Linked DNA regions of Mus musculus. The protein of the gene in region 3 interacts with the protein of the main gene of each other region in a biochemical or structural test. Links are inferred from orthologs where the notes say so. Each region holds a gene or a part of one and is shown on either strand. Other genes may lie near its edges.

The links.
Region 1: the proteins of Bcl2l1 (region 3) and Bik interact in a test that uses a peptide from one of them, tested with the Homo sapiens proteins (3 studies listed by BioGRID and IntAct, with this or other methods). The link is inferred for Mus musculus from reciprocal best matches to the Homo sapiens genes BCL2L1 and BIK.
Region 2: the proteins of Bcl2l1 (region 3) and Hrk interact in a biophysical measurement, tested with the Homo sapiens proteins (3 studies listed by BioGRID and IntAct, with this or other methods). The link is inferred for Mus musculus from reciprocal best matches to the Homo sapiens genes BCL2L1 and HRK.

Annotation. Positions count from the first base shown.
Region 1 is NC_000081.6:83,524,425-83,530,737, forward strand, and holds the start of Bik (bcl-2-interacting killer), read left to right. Parts: upstream 1-2,437; 5' UTR 2,438-2,512; intron 2,513-2,692; exon of another isoform or gene 2,693-2,823; coding exon of another isoform or gene 2,824-2,917; intron 2,918-5,916; exon of another isoform or gene 5,917-6,313.
Region 2 is NC_000071.6:118,167,607-118,173,312, forward strand, and holds the start of Hrk (activator of apoptosis harakiri), read left to right. Parts: upstream 1-2,157; 5' UTR 2,158-2,176; coding exon 2,177-2,455; 3' UTR 2,456-2,522; intron 2,523-5,706. UniProt on the Homo sapiens protein: Promotes apoptosis.
Region 3 is NC_000068.7:152,827,918-152,832,110, reverse strand, and holds the start of Bcl2l1 (bcl-2-like protein 1), read left to right. Parts: upstream 1-1,393; 5' UTR 1,394-1,725; exon of another isoform or gene 1,726-1,924; intron 1,925-1,990; exon of another isoform or gene 1,991-2,008; 5' UTR 2,009-2,120; coding exon 2,121-2,684; exon of another isoform or gene 2,685-3,664; intron 3,665-4,193. UniProt on the Homo sapiens protein: Potent inhibitor of cell death. Inhibits activation of caspases. Appears to regulate cell death by blocking the voltage-dependent anion channel (VDAC) by binding to it and preventing the release of the caspase activator, CYC1, from the mitochondrial membrane.

The DNA.
Region 1 (6,313 bases), on a different chromosome or scaffold from region 3:
GCCATTGTTAAATTCAATCCCAGCACCCATGTAGAGACCTGTGTGGCAGTGCTGGCTTGAACCTCTGTGTTGGGGAGTCGGGGACAGTGAGATCCCTGGCATGGCTGGCTAGCTCCATTAGTGACTGGCAGGTCCAGTAGAAGGTATGCACTCCACCAACTAAGCTATACCCCAATCCCCCATTCTTCAAGTTTAAGGCAGGGGGTTTCACTATGTACCCCAGGCTGGCTGAAACTCTCATTCCTCCTGCCTCAGTTTGTAGAATGTGGATTGCCGGTGCCACTGCACCAGACTCTACCAGTATTTGTTAAACAAAGGATCCAAAGACAACTCGAGGCCAAAACTTGGCTTGAAGTCTGTGTCAGCTGGATCATAGACACAAGTGATCTCAGGCACAGAAGGCAGTGGGGTTATGAGGATCCAGAGGTAGCTGTGAGCAGCACCTGTAGATTGAGGCCACTAGAGAAGAAAGGGGCAAGTCCCTGAGTATGGTCCTCTCAGGGAGCAGGGTGCATAGCCTAGTGGCTCAGGGACAGAACACGGGATCTACATGGTGAAGGAGAAAACTGACCTCTGAGGGTTGTCTTCTGACCTTCACACACATAGTCCCCTCTCCAACAGAATGAATGAATAAATGTTTCAAAAGAAGGGAAGAGAAGAGCAAATGTGAGCCCTGGGGACAGAAGGTGGCGGTCCCCATTGTCACCACTTGTATTACTTCTTGCATCTGACCCAATTATGGAGCACTAACAGGAAGGCGCACTCTTATTTAAGTGATTTTGCCCCATTTCCCTTCATTTGTCTCTCTTTCTTTTAATTTATTTTAGACAGGGTCTCTTGTACCCCAGGCTCTCCTGGAACTCACTGGAAAACTGTGTATGTAGCCTTGAACGCCTTGGCCTCCCGGCTTCAACTTCCCAAACCTGAGATGACAGGGGTATCAACACACCCAGTTTTTCTTTGTAATTTGAGACATGGATTCTCAGCCTGGTGGTAGTAGTGGTTGGTGCATGCTTTTAAACCCAGCACTAGGGAGGCTGGGGCTGGCACATCTCTGTGAGTTCCAGAAAAGCCAGGGCTACACAGAGAAGCCCTGTCTTGAAAAAGCAAACGAACAAATAAACAAACCCCTCCAAATAATGAATTCTTGCTATATTGCCCGGAACCTACCCAACTTCCTAGTCTCCCCAGCGGCAGGCCGTTCAGGGATTGAGTCACTGTGCTAGCCTCCCATTTGATCAGCCTGTTGCCTTGGGGATCTTGCAGGCTAAATATTTTCACTCACCCCCTCCCCTGGGCCCCTAAGTCCCCATCTGACCTCAAACTGGCCTCCTTCCTCCACCTTGTCTACTGTTTACAGAACGCATCTGCTGACCGGTCAGGTCTTTCTGGACTGTGAGACCCCTTGTCACTGCCTCTCTTCTCTCAGTCTCAATTTTCTGCAAATTCATCTGCAAAATGTATTGGCAGAGAGGCTTCAAGGTCCCCTGCCCCCAACTCCAGGTTGTGACAATCCCTGATGGCTAATGGCCAAAGATCAGGGTTCAATTTGCTTCTGGGCTTGGAGGTGACAGAAGGACCACAGAACTGGAAAGATCTGAGTGGCAGGATTGGAAGGCCTCTAAGATTAAATTCTGCCGAGGACCTTCTAACATGTGGGGGGAGGGGCTGCCTTCCCGTGTCAGGAGAAGATTTAAGGAACCCCAAATATCACCACCCCTCTCCTGACAGGAGAGGGAAGAGTCCAGCTGACTACTTGACAAAGCACGCAGTAGGAGGCACCTGCCCCAGATTCTGACCTCTGCTATCCCGAGAGGAGCTGACTTGGGATAAACAAGTTTTGTTGTTGTATAGATAGTGGTTACTTTGTAATTCGGCCAGTGCTCCATCTTTACTCACCTCGGAGCCCCTGCTCCAGGGCACTGGAGACTGAACTCCTCCCACTTCACCTGTAATTCTAGATTTCACCTCCTACCGATCCTCTCCTTCACCCTAAGTCTTCGCCAAAAGGAGGGCTGGGAGAGCTCCCTATACACCGGGAGAGAAGAGAGAGGGGAAAGGGGGAGATTTGGAGGTGCAGTGCGGAACTTGTAGCAGGCGGGAGCAAAGGGAAGCCACAGAAGCACCAAGCCTTTAGGAGTACTATGAGGACCAAGTAGACAGCCCTTGCTAAGGTTTGGCCGCGGCGATGGCAGAGGCGGCGTCTGCGGAAAGCACACTCGCAGACGCACTGGCGGGGACACAGTAGCAGGTCTACAGGCGACAGAGGAATGTCTGCAAGCTAACGACTTTAAAACAGGGGTTCTGTAGCTACTTATTGGGACCGGGGATTTGGAGCCCCGGAGGGAGGAGTTAAAGGGGCGGGACGGGGAGGGCGCGGCCACCTATCAGGGTCCAGCCCGCCGCTCACAATAACCCGCCTCCAGCCAGCGCCCCCGACTCCGCCACCGGCGTCCCAGCCGAGAGGGTGTTCGGGCAGTTCGCCCGCCGCTACGCCAGCTCAGCTTGGCAGGTAAGCGTCTTGCAGCCCTAGCCCAAGTTGCTGGAAAGTTGGGGACCCGTGCCCAAATCCCTCGGTGGCCCCGGCTCTGAAACGTCCCCTCTGCGTCTGACACCCCAGAAGGTGCTAGTCTGGTCCGCGTGTCTCGCTGTGCGTCCATGCACTGGGGTGGCCCTTGTGTCCTGGTTCTAGGGCGCGCTGAGCAAGTGGCCTTCGTTGTCGCTGTGCCCTGGTTGTCGAAAACTTAGGGGGAGCAGCTTGAGACCAGGGCGCGGCACTGCCACAGTAGGGCGGCCAGGCTGAGCCCGGGCCGCAGGCGGAAGATGGCGTCGGCACCTGTCTCCGCGAGGACCGGAGAGTTCGCATCTGTCCCTCCCTCGGGGATCCTGGGATTCGCACCGTCCCTGCCGCGACCTGGTAATTCACACCTGTTCCCGACAGAATCCAGCTTCGCATCTGTCCTCTCTGGGACCCGGGGATATAGGTCTTCGAGGGGCAGCAGAAGGGCCTTCTTAGGCGACCTGGGTAGTTCAGACCATCATTTCCCCGAAGCTCCTAGCCACCTGCCTGCGCCCAGGCGCAGGGACTGGGAGTGCATCCGAGGGGCCGGCAAGGTCGCCGGTGTACCAGCCACAACCAGCACTGGGGGTTCAATACTTGTGTCACTTTTCCACCTTGTGGCCTTCAGGATGCGGATGCAGGTTGTTTTATAAACTTAATTGCTGTTCTGAAGTGTACTGAACCACCCCTACAAAGTGTTGTTTATTGTTGTTGGCGTTGATGCAGGTGATAACACTGTTACAGGGGTTTGGAGCCAGCTGCAGCTCTCAAGAAGGCTGGTCTCCTACCTACTTTGGGGGATGGGGGAGTTGTCAGTGAACCTTAATTTTAACCTCAGGGAAGCAGGCCTCATTTCAGATAGGCTTATGTCCCAACAGCTACATAGAGCTGGCTCCTTCAAAGCCTGGAGGGCTTTCTTAGAGGCCACACCAACCTCTCTACCTGTGACCTACTTTCTGTTCTGACTGTGTAGCTTTCTACAGGCTCCTCCACCATTCTGGACCTCAGTTTGTTGAGTTTGTAAACTGCGTTGTGGTTTAGCCTGGTGGGGAGGGACCTTTCCCAAGAAGTGGCTGAGTAGCTCGGCAATGCTACCTTGATTTCCACTAGGTTGGGGCATGTTTACTGTTGCTCCTTTACAAGTATACACCTAAGGGTCACCTGGGGTCCTTGGCTGCTTTTGGATCTAGTGTCCTGCCTAGGGCAGGTGGCACTCGTGACCTCCCAGCCTTGCCCCTCCCCACATCTCTCACTCCACCCTGCCAATTTTCTCCCCTCTATACTCCAGGATTTGAGACTTTCTTTGTTTTGTTTTGAGGCAAAGTTTCATGTAGCCTAGGCTGGCCCCCAGCTCACTATGTAGCTGAGGATGGTCTTGAAACTCCTGATTCTCTTACCTTCACCACCTGAGTTCTAGGATTCCAGGTATAGTTACTGTATCCAGGTTATTTGTAGCTGGGGATGGAACTCACAGCTCTGTGTATACTACCATTGTTTTCTTAAGTAAGGCCTCACTATGTAGCAGAGGCTAGCCTCGCATTCTCAATCCTTCGGTTTGCTTCCCTAGTGCTGACTTTTAGTCTGCTTTCTGTTGCTAATAAGATACAGTGCATTGGGTTGGGTTATAAAGAAGTAAAATTTATTCTGGCTTGTGATTCATGTGGGGTTGAGGGCCATCTTGGGTGACTCCCTTTTGTTGGCAGAAGACATACATTGTACATTTTACCCACCTCTCAAAGGTCCGGCCTCTAAACCCCACAGTGAGGTTGAGTTTCCCCTTTAAATACCTCACAAGGGGATTAAATGTCAACACCCCAATCTTTGGAGACCCCCAGGTCATATCTAACTACAGCGCCTCCCCTTCAAAGTCACAGAGCTGCTGTTTCTCAGTTGTTCCTCCAGAGTTAGGTTTTAAAGGTTGTCTGTGCTTTGCTCTTTTTCTATTTCGGAGACAGGGTCTCACACTTTATAGCCCAGGCTGTCTTTGAACTCTCAATTCTCCTGCCTCTGAGATCCTGGGGTTATGGGTCTTTATTGCTTATTTTTTAACTTTCTTAACTCAAAATGTGCACCTTTGCCAGAGGATGCTGGCTCTCATCCCGAGCTGGAAAACGCAGTGTGTCATTTTTCAACTTGGTGACAGGCTCATTTAACTTATCTTCTAAGCTGAACCCTAGTTAGCATTTTAAAGTTAGCTAGATCTGTTTTGTTTCCAGATCTGGGGATGGGACCCTGGGCTTTGTGTATTTTAAGCAACAGGGGGCCAAGAAGCAAGCAGGCCGCCTGGCTTACTTGGGGCATGGGATGCTGAAGGCTCAGTAAAGGGTCTAGGTAAGAGCCCAACACCACCAGAAGGAAGGAAGAGGATGGGGTCCACCTCCCAGAGGAGCCCAGACAACTCTAGTACTTCCTCCTCAGGCTCAAACATTCCAGAGCATATGAAGAACGTAGAAGCTGAAAGGGGAGGAGGTAGCTTGCTACTCTGGCCTTCTGTGATGGAGCTACTCTCCTGTCACAGTTGATCCTTTTTTGTAGCACTGGGAGGTTTATAAGGGGTCATCGGAGTGATACATCCCTGGCCTTTCATCTTCTGATGTCTTTGCTCAGTTGACATTTCTCTGACAACCCCTCCATGTCCACCCTTCCTGACATCTCACCCATTATTTGTTCTGTCCTATGCCCTTGGCTGTCTGAAATAATCTCATGTATTCGTAGCCTGCATGTTCTGTGAGACAAGGAACATCAAATTTTAGGTTCCTGGTGCCCATCATAGCCTGAACTCTCTCTGGATGGAGGGCTTACCTGCATGCTGGTCACTGTAAGGTGGTTGATATACAGTAATGAAATCACTGCTGGATTCGCTGAGAGCAAAGAAACCAGAGCTTGTGGACTGGAGATGTAGCTCAGTTGGTAGAGCGGCGGGATAACACACACAGATTCCTGGGTTCAGCTCCCAGGACCGCATATGCCAGGGGTGGAGGCCAACACTCGGAAGGAAGCAAAAGTTCAAGGTCATTCATTCTTGGCTGCATATTGAGTTGGAGGCCAATGTAGAAAACAGGAGACCCTGCCTTGAAAGAAAAGTCACAGGGTACATACAGTTTGCCATCTTGTCTTATTATGTTCCTTTCCCACCTCTCTTAGTAGAAGGGCAGGGGTATTTGGAAGGCCATATTGACTAGTGAGTCTTCAAGCTGTCCTGCCACACTGCCACAGACAGAATCCCCCCCACCCCCCGGAAAGCATCCTGTTTTCAGTGAGTTGGTTACATTTGTGGACAATTAATGACCCTTGCTTCCTCTGCGGCTGACTGAGTGAATCCTGCCAGAGAAATCACTGTTTTGCTCTCTGCCTAGAACAATTCGGAAGCTGTTTCAAGGAAGTGCCGAACGATGCCCGGCTTTTGTTGGGAGTGGCCACCAGGAAGCCAGCAGCAGGTCTGGACTGGACATGTGTGGCTGCTTCCTTTCTCCTACCCTTGGTTGGCTGAAGCCAAGCCTCAGAGAAAAGTGTCAGCAAATGCGTCCCGGGCAGGCGGGAGAGGGCAGGGCGCAGGGTGGCATGGAGAGGGCAGCTGATTTACCTAGTGTCAACACTGAGTTGTGACAATACAAAACACCCTCTGGGCACTGCCAAGGAAACCTGTTTTTCAGGAGATGGGAGAAAATGTGGTGCCCAGTTACCCGACCTGAGAGGAGGCTCACCATGCTCGGGAGGGGAGTGAAGGAGAACCTACTTGGCCGTCTGGTGGAA
Region 2 (5,706 bases), on a different chromosome or scaffold from region 3:
AATCTTGGACCACTACACTCGGGCAATGGTTCAGCTGCCCCTCTGTTAAGGATGGCTGGGATTAGGGAGGGGGAGTCCCGGGAGATGGGGAAGGAGTTCTGGCCAGAATCAGAGGGGACGGAGGTTTATTTGAGCCCGATGCGTGCCAGGCGCTTGGCACAGGGTTCTTTCATTTAATCTGGGCCCCGGTCCTGGGAGGGAGGTATTATCAGTCTCAGAATACAGAGTCCAGTGTCAAGCCATAGCTAGAGTTTTGTGCCTGCTACTGGGTGCCCTGGTTCAGAGCCAGCCTTTGCTTTGTACTAACCCCTATCTTGGGCAAGAGGCCTCATGGACTTGGGCCTTGGCTTCCTCATGTTGAAAAACAGGACACCGAAAGAGTCTCTGTAGGAGCACAGGCCAGGACCTTGGCAGGCAGCTGGCATGGAAGGTACTCTGTAGTGTGGGTAGTAAGGGCACAGTGACTGCCCACTGGGTGGGGGCGAGGGTCACCAAAAGCACACAGCTGGGCTATGCTGAGCTCTGACAGTCACCTCACCAAGCTTCCAAGGGAGCCCGTAGCCCATTGATGTGGCTGAAAGTCAGTCAAGCTGCAGAGTCCTCCTGTCATTTGGTGGTCAGGAGGATGAGGCAGGAGAGCTTCTGGTTACACCGTAGCAGAGTTTTTGAAACAAAAGGAAAGTCACAATAACATCACAGAACTCCAAAAAGGTGAGTTCATAGTTTCTTATCTTTTGGGTTTTAGTTATTTATTTTGGTTTTTTGAGACAGGGTTTTTCTGTGTAGCCCTGGCTGTCCTGGAACTCACTCTGTAGACCAGGCTGGCCTCGAACTCAGAAATCTGCCTGCCTCTGCCTCCCAAGTGTTGGGATTAAAGGCGTGTACAACCACTGCTCGACTTGTTTTCTGTTTGAATACGTCTGTCTATCTCCTATCTATCTATCTATCTATCTATCTATCTATCTATCTATCTATCTATCTATCTATCTATCTTATGTGCATACACATAGGGTAGTACATATGGAGGTCAGAGGACAATCTGTGGGTATCAGATTTCTGTCTTTGGAACACACGGATTCACAGGACTGAAATTAAGTCATCAGGTTCGGTTGCAAGCACCTTTACCCACAGAGGCATCCCTGACTCTTTGGGGTTTTTAAATAAAGGATTCTCTCTGTAACTGTGGCTGGCCTGAAACCACTATATGGACCAGGTTGTATATGGACCACTTCCCTGCTCCTTCAGGCCCCAATCCCAAAGCTGTCCAAAATCCAGTGGCTTGGACATGGTGGGCGGGTCTCTCTAGCACCCTAAGGAGTCCCAGGAGCCTCCTCACTGGTCGGCACCCTCCCCAGAGGACTTCCCAGGCTGGAGCTGGAGCAAAACTGGATTGGTCTTCCTTTGGGTTAGGTAACCTCACTGGGCACCAAGGCAAAGCCTTACAGGGTCGCCAGCAAACTCTGACCCCGTTTGAAAAGATAAAGCCTACAAAGTAAGCAGGCTGCAAGAACTTCTCTCTAGAACCACGTTCTTGGGTGGGGGGTGGGGGGTGGGGAGATGTCTTGAGTGCAAAGGCGACTCGCCCAAGTTGGAGTCCAACCCATCCCGGGTCCCCCGCCTTCATTTCAGGGTTCAGGCTCCCACCCCGGGGTGCGCTTAAGTCAGGTCACCAGAAGGGGGTGCGAACGCGTGTCAGGAATGTGTGCACCCACCCGGAGGCTGACAGGTGCGGAGGCTGTCCCGAAACAGGGCAAGTCGGCTTGAACCCTGCCTCCCACCACCCAGGCCACACAACAGCCCGGGGATCTTTTCGCATTACGGCCGAATTCTCCCGGAGCTCAATTCACAGTGCGCACCGAGCTGGCTTTCCAGGCTATCTCCGAGCTGGAGCCTCCCGCAGCCCGGGAAGCGAAACAGCGGACCCCGGGCCAGCATTCCCGAAGCCCCGCATCCCTGCCTGTCCCCGCCCTGCCGGCGTCTCGAGGGTTAAAAGTTACCTCTCGGCTTTTTCTCCTGCACACACTCCCCACCCCCCGGGCCGGATGATGTAACCCCCTCCCCGCGCCCTCCCCGCCCCCTCCACCATGTGACACTTTAATTAATAATAGCGCCGTCAGCACAACAAACGCGCGGTGAAGGGCGAAACTTGGGGTCCAGGGAGGCTCCTCCGCACGCCATGTGCCCGTGTCCCCGGCATCGCGGCCGCGGGCCCCCGGCCGTGTGCGGTTGCGGCGACGCTCGCCCCGGGCTGCGCTGGGCGGCGGCGCAGGTGACCGCGCTGCGGCTGCAGGCGCTGGGCGACGAGCTGCACCGACGCGCCATGCGGCGTCGCGCGCGGCCCCGGGACCCGCTGCCCGCGCTGCTGCCCGCGCTCCGCGCCCGCTGGCCCTGGCTGTGCGCGGCCGCGCAGGTGGCGGCGCTGGCGGCCTGGCTGCTCGGCAGGCGGAGCGCGTAGGCGGCGCGCGCGGGGCCTTCTTGGTGGGGGGGACCGGAGCCGAGACCCAGCCCGGACCGAGCAACAGGTACGCGGGCAAGCGGGCGGGAGAGCGACAGCGACAGCGGGAGCCAGGGCTCCTCGGCGAGGAACAGCGGACCCGGTCTCCTACTCTTCGCTTGCCCTCTGTCCCTCTTTATCCAGACCCCGAGTATCTGCTCCGCCTCATCCCCCCTACTCTCTCTCTCTCTCTCTCTCTCTCTCTCTCTCTCTCTCCCTCTCCCTCCCTCTCTTCCCTCATTCTCTCTCCTCCTCCCTCTGTTCCTCTCTCCTTTCTCTCTTCTCTTCCTCCCTTCTCCTTCCCCCTCTCTCTTCTCTCCCTCTCTCTCTTCCTCCCTCCTTCCTCTCTCTCCCTCTCTCCTTCCCTCCTTCATCTCTCTCCTCTCTTCTTTCCCTCCACTCTCCATCTCCACTCTCTCCCCCTCTCTCCTTCCTCTCCCTTTCCTTTCCCTCTCTCTCTCCTCTTTTTCCTTCCCTCCTCCCCTTCTCCTTCCTCTCCCTTTCCTTTCCCTCTCTCTCTCCTCTTTTTCCTTACCTCCTCCCCCTCTCCTCCCGCTCCCCTGTCTCTGTTCTGTCTTCACTCTCCCCCCCCTCCCCACTCCTCTCTCTTCTCCCTCACTCTCATCTCTCTTCAGTGTTTTCACTCTCTTCTTTCTCCAATCCCCTGGCTCACGTTATTCTTCCCCTTGTGTAGCTCTCCTCTGCCTTTCCACTTTCTCCTGTTTTCCCTTTCTCCAGTCTGCTTTCTCTCTCCTCTCCCACTACCCCGTGTCCCCCCTTCCTTCTCCACCTCTCTCTCTCTCCCCCCCTTCTCTCTCTCCTCACTGTCCCCTCTCTCCTTTCTCCCTCTTCTCTCTCCTCCTCCTTCCTCTGCAGCATAGTGGTTTTAGAAGGACGTAAGCCACCACAATCGCTGCCAGCCCCAGTAAACACACGCAGTAGAACTGCACCAGTCCGAGCTAAGAGTCTCCCCTAATTATGCACCACAGGTTCTCGAGTCCCCGGCCCTTTTCAAACCGCCTGGTATTCCAACTTGACCAGGTCTCCATATCTCCACTGCCAACTCCCGTCTCCTCAAGGGTCTGCAGTTTGTGGTGATCCCCATTCTCTATGACCCCCCAACTCCTCCCACCCCCGCTCCCGTGGAAGTTTCTCAGGGGTAGGTCGTGGTCCTCTCTCCAAGGCAGGCGCACATCAAGGTCCCATCTCCTGGGTAACTTTGTTGCTCCTTTTACCACGAGGTGTCGCGGTTTACAGCTTGGCCTCCTATCACCTTCCCCAGCGACGGCGAGAGGTGTGGGCGCCTGCTGTGTGCTCCGGACCGTCCCTGGGTGCTGGGTGCCTAATGTTTGATATCGGGAGGCTATAGGTGGGTCCTTGGTAGGGTGACCTGTGAGCACCCGCTGTGTGCCAGGTACCGGGCTAGGCGGTTTGGGGGAGCAAGAAGTGTCGGTCGGGGTCGCCTTTCTAGATTTCTAGTGCAGAGGCTTCATAAAACGGGGTGGGGTGGGTGGGAACTAGGCTGACTTCCGAGAATGGGTCGGAATGTGAAGATCACAGGTAAGGTAGCCAGAGACCCTGAGATGCTCTGGGCTGATCCCAGCCCTGCCCGACGGGCGCGCAGACACCTTAGGAAGCTGGCGCGGCGCCGCAGGGAGAGGCGGCAGCCGGAGCGTGGGGGGTGGCAGCGCCCGAGGAGCTGCGGGGGTGAGCGGGGTGTGAGCCGGGAGCGCGGGCGACAGATGTCGCGTGGGCCCGCGCAGCCCGGGCGCTGGCGAAGAGAACTGTCGCTTCGGGGCGCCCTGCGGCCCGGCTCCCTGGCTCTGAAGGTCCCTTGCGCGCCTCCTCTCTGTTCTCCCTTTCAAAAGTACCGCTGCTGCGGAATCCCGGGGGGTGGGGCTAATATTTTGAAGGGTGCCACAGCTTTGACTCCCAAAATGTAGACTTTGGGAGGAGAAAGAGGGAGGAAGAGAAGGGAAATTCATACTGGTTATGAATTGGAGAGTGGGGGCGTGGGGGAGAAATGGAGGGTGCAGAAGTGAATGGGGAGGGAAGGAAATCTCTAATAGAAGCGAGGGGTGGGCAGGGATGTTAACTCGGGAGTCTAGGAGCACAGGCGGGATGGCAGAAGTGCTGTTAGTGTCGTTCCACTCAAGACTCCGGGCGAGGGCGAGAGCCTGTATCGGTGTGCATGCATGTCGGGAGTTGGGGTGCTCAGGGAACCCGAAAAAGAGGCTGCGGTCCACGCAGGCCCGGCGCTCCACTCTGAGCTCTGACAAGAAGTTGGGAAACTGGAGCCCCGTGGTACGGTATGGATGTGGTGTGCAAGGGAAACAAGAGATAACTTTCGCTTTAGAATTAACTTTCTATTCTAGCTCCGTTTCCGTCCCAGAGATAGCTCCGTGCTGCGTCCTGACTCCCGCCCCCAACTCCTTCCTGGCTTCTGCTTACAACGTCTCCCCTCCTAGCTGCCACACCCACCAGGGTTCTCACTTCTCTGTGCTCCTGACCCCTGGAAGTGCCGGCGCTTTCCTCTAGATGGTCCCTTGCACCCCTGAAGCCCTTGTCGGGGGTACTCCCTTCATCTGGTAACAAGATGACCACACCCTCATTTTCCAGTCTGCCCTAGTTGGCTAGAGCCAGGAAAGCCGGCCGAGAGGGTAATCGGTTGAGTTCTGTGTACTAGATGTGGGATGCTCTCCCCAGCATTGCGGGGGTGGGGGGTGGGGGAGGGGGGTGGGGGGTGGGGATGGGGATGAGAATGCTCTGGTCTACCTTGGTCTCTGGGAGGGTGTTGGGTTGGGGGATATCTTTTAAGAGCTTAGCTTTAACCAGGGTCAGTGGGCCCAGCAAATTTGTTCTTTGCCCCAGCTGTGAGCCAGTAACATTTGGTCCACAAAGTTACTAATAAAAGAGACAAAAAAGAAATAAAGCCCCAAAGGCTCAGTTCTTCCATACTCAACACGGGGACAATAATATTAGCAATGAGCTTACAGCACAGGTGACTTTAGGAGGGTTGAAGGAACAATTCTTACTGCTTCTGAGGTGGCTGTAAGGGCTGGGGCTCCTGTGTGGCTCCGTGATGGATTATGGCACCAAATTAAATAATAATAATAATAATAATAACAATAACAACAATAATAAATAAAGCAGTTGCAGATGTGAGCTACCATGACCATTACTGACCATTTAACAGCTGGAATCTTTTTCCA
Region 3 (4,193 bases):
CTCCACCCGTAAGGTATAAGTCTTCATAAAAACAGAGACATTGCCTTGCCTTGTGTCTTCAACAAACCAAACTAAGGGCTTTCTATTCTTCAGGCTTTTCAAGTAGTACCTGATACACAGTCAATGAAAGGTCAATATTGCTGTCTATTTTTAAAGTGAGGGGGGAAATACACAAGTTGAGAAACCTGTTCGATGTTGGACACCGACATCGAAAGGAAAAAGCACTTTTTCTGTAGTATACAAAGGGACAGATGGATGAAGGAACTAGATTGAAGGAATGTGAACCATAAACGTTCCACGCGCCTGAGACTCCTCAAATCGCTCGCCAGGGGTCGCTGCTCTCCCATGTCTCGATGCCAGTCCCTTTCTGGCGCGCACTCCTTTTGCGTCTCGGGCTCGCGCGCGCTGCCGCGGCACCGGAAGTGGCTGCGCTTGCAAGTTCCCCCGGTCTCTTCAGGGGAAACTGAGGCCGGCTTCTCCGGGAGATTCAGCACGAGCAGTCAGCCAGGTAGGCAGGCTTAAGTCCGCGGCATACTTCCCAGCCGCAAAACGCCCTAGTGTCTGGAAGCCACTGGGCCTATGAAGGGGGGATGTGGCCCCCCACGGCTCTCTGGGGCTCGCAGGTGAGAGCGCCGCCTCCCCTGTGCCTGACAGGCGCTGGGCCCAATGGGAGCCTTTGCCGTCCCGCTTCCGTGCCGACTCGACCCGCGGATTGGCTAAGCTGGGGCGGGCCGCGGGGGCGAGACCCCTCCTTCCAGAGAGGTCTAGGGGGCGCCCCTGAGGGAGGGCGGTTGCCTAGCAACGGGGCGGTGGCTCGGCGGGTACCCGGCCTAGGGGAGCGCGAGCAGTAAGCGAGGCCTCAGCCCACCCACCCGGGGCTCCGGCGCGGAGCGGCCTCCGGCCCTCGAGCCCTGCAGGGGGCTCCAGAAGGCCGCCTTGGGCTCGGCCTCAGGAAAAACGAGGTCTCCACTGTGGGAGCCCCGACCCTTCTTCCTGGCCGGTGGCGGGGCTCAGTGCCTCTCTCTCACCCCGTCTTTGTGCGTGGGGTGCCGGCGGCCATTGTGTCCGGGCGCGGAATGGAGGACCTGGCCGTCCCCCAGTGCTGTGTCCAGGGCCTTTGGGGAATTCAAAGACAACTAGCGGTGTTTGTGGGGGGTCTCCAGCATACGCCTCTCGGAAAAACCCGGGAGTGGTCTTTCCGAAATCAGATCACAGATCCGAGGCTGTCTTCCCCCTGTCCGCGTCCCTGCGCGAAACCTTGAGATTCACTTGGAAGTCCCTTTAGGGTTTCGGAAGCCTCATCTAGGGCTGGTACTTAAATAGAAAGAAAGAAAGGAGGGGTGGGGGGAAATTACACTAAACCCATACCTCCGGGAGAGTTCTCCTGACTCCCAGTAGGAGGCGGAGAGCCAAGGGGCGTGCTAGAGCGAGGGGGTTGGGCTCCCGGGTGGCTGGAGCCTGCGGAGCAGAGAGAGGCCGCCCTCGATCTGGTCGATGGAGGAACCAGGTTGTGAGGGGGCAGGTTCCTAAGCTTCGCAATTCCTCTGTCGCCTTCTGAGCTGCCTACCAGGTCGCATGATCCCTCCGGCCGGGGCTGGTTTTTTTTTTTTTTTTTTTTTTTTGCTGAGTTACCGGCGACCCAGCCACCACCTCCTCCCCGACCTATGATACAAAAGACCTTCCGGGGGTTGTACCTGCTTGCTGTCGCCGGAGATAGATTTGAATGTAGGTGGTGGTGGTGGGGATATGCCAATGGGGGTGACTTTTGGAGAAAGGCATTTCGGAGAAAAGGGGGTGGGTGGTTGTAGTAAAAAGAGGCGGATGAAACAATTCAAAGCTGGCTGGTCCTTTCAATTTGACTTCATTGAAGTCCCTTAGAACCCGGACTCAGACCTTCATAAGAGCCACAAAGAAAGCAATTCTGGTACCTGGAGGAGGAATGGGAATATTGTAAGGTAAATGACATGCATATTAAATTTTTCTCCTGAAGCTCTCTCTCTCTCTTCAGAACCTTATCTTGGCTTTGGATCCTGGAAGAGAATCGCTAAACACAGAGCAGACCCAGTAAGTGAGCAGGTGTTTTGGACAATGGACTGGTTGAGCCCATCTCTATTATAAAAATGTCTCAGAGCAACCGGGAGCTGGTGGTCGACTTTCTCTCCTACAAGCTTTCCCAGAAAGGATACAGCTGGAGTCAGTTTAGTGATGTCGAAGAGAATAGGACTGAGGCCCCAGAAGAAACTGAAGCAGAGAGGGAGACCCCCAGTGCCATCAATGGCAACCCATCCTGGCACCTGGCGGATAGCCCGGCCGTGAATGGAGCCACTGGCCACAGCAGCAGTTTGGATGCGCGGGAGGTGATTCCCATGGCAGCAGTGAAGCAAGCGCTGAGAGAGGCAGGCGATGAGTTTGAACTGCGGTACCGGAGAGCGTTCAGTGATCTAACATCCCAGCTTCACATAACCCCAGGGACCGCGTATCAGAGCTTTGAGCAGGTAGTGAATGAACTCTTTCGGGATGGAGTAAACTGGGGTCGCATCGTGGCCTTTTTCTCCTTTGGCGGGGCACTGTGCGTGGAAAGCGTAGACAAGGAGATGCAGGTATTGGTGAGTCGGATTGCAAGTTGGATGGCCACCTATCTGAATGACCACCTAGAGCCTTGGATCCAGGAGAACGGCGGCTGGGTAAGAACCACGCCCCTTGTGTGTCCGCCCCTTGCTTGTGTCTCTCTTCTCTGTGAACATCCCTAAAACTGCCCTTTTTGGTCTCTTTCTGTTATATGGCATGGTTGTTAAAGATACCGATTGTTCAGGAGACCTTCCTGGCTTCATTTTAATACAAGAGGTTAACTTTGGAAATATAGATGACCCAATTTTTAAGGGACCTGTATCTTTCATCCTGGCTACCCTTGTGGCCCCACAGTTTCATAGTTTTGTTCCAATTTCTCAGCAAAGAAAAACAGCCTATGTGTTTACTTGGCTTAAAACCTATGAGAGCAGCAAGTTCTCCCCGCGTTCTGCTCACTCTCATGAAATGGGTCACCTTGGCTGGGGTGATGAACATAATACCCAGGAAACTGCAGAACTGGAACCTCAGGCTGCTGTGTACTTGCATGCATGGTACTCAGACCATTTGGCCAGTCAGGAGCCCCCACTGGCTAGAGTGGCTGAGTATTGTCTGATTTTAGAGGAGGGTGGTCTGGGCCAATGGTGTTTGTGCTGTGCTCCTAAGTTCTTTTTCCCCAAAGTGTGCAACTTTCTGCATGGTTGGCTTGTTTGTAGAGCCCTTCCTGTGCCATATCAAGCCCCAGGACTTTGCACCTCGCTGCCCTGGATTGGTTGGGGATCTCCAGCTGCTCTGCCCAGTGTTTTTCTGGTCAGGGCCCTGGGGCCTCTTTACTGAAGCACTGTTTGCTGGCAGAGCAAGAACCTGGTTTGTGAGGCTCCATAGGAAATTAAGATTTGGTGACAGACTGTATGTGGGTGTGAGTCCTGGCCCTGTCACTTAACTGGCCATGTGACCTTGGACAGGCTGGTTTACCTTCTAGAGCCTTAGTTTCTAACAGACTATTGTGACCCAAAGATAAAGAGAGCAGAGGCTGACACAATGAGTGCTTTTTCTTCAGAATCCTGCTCGCCACCTCATCAGTCAGGGTGAGATAGAGGTGAGAGTTCCATTACTAGTAGCTGTCGTGGTAGGCGTTTGTTACCCTTCAGAGTGAACTGCATTCTGGAATAGGGGATATTGCGGCTTCTGAGACGTATTCTGTCTCCTTAGAATATGTAGAAAATGGACAGACTGGAAAATAAGTCATCCATTGAAGGAAGTGAGGTGGAAGGGGCCATGCACCATGGACTCCGGAATGTCAAGAATTTAGTTGTCCATAGGCTGGGCCTAGGGCGGGGCAAGCACTTTGCTTTACTACAGGGTAAGAGACCTCCAGGTTTTCCCTGGGACCCCATCCTGCCTCTAGTTTCCCATTTCTTTGAAACTTCACCTTTCTTCCCTCCAGTAGCTCTTGTAAAGGCAAGGAGGTCACTTGTCAGTAGAGGCCAGATGACCAGAGTAGAGTTGACTGAGGTAAAGGTGGGTTCCCTTGAGCTAAGGGTTGCCAGACTTGAAAGCTAATCTGTAAATGAACTCCCTGGGGAGATAAATGATTAAATAGTTCCTGTTGGTTTGTGCTGTGACCT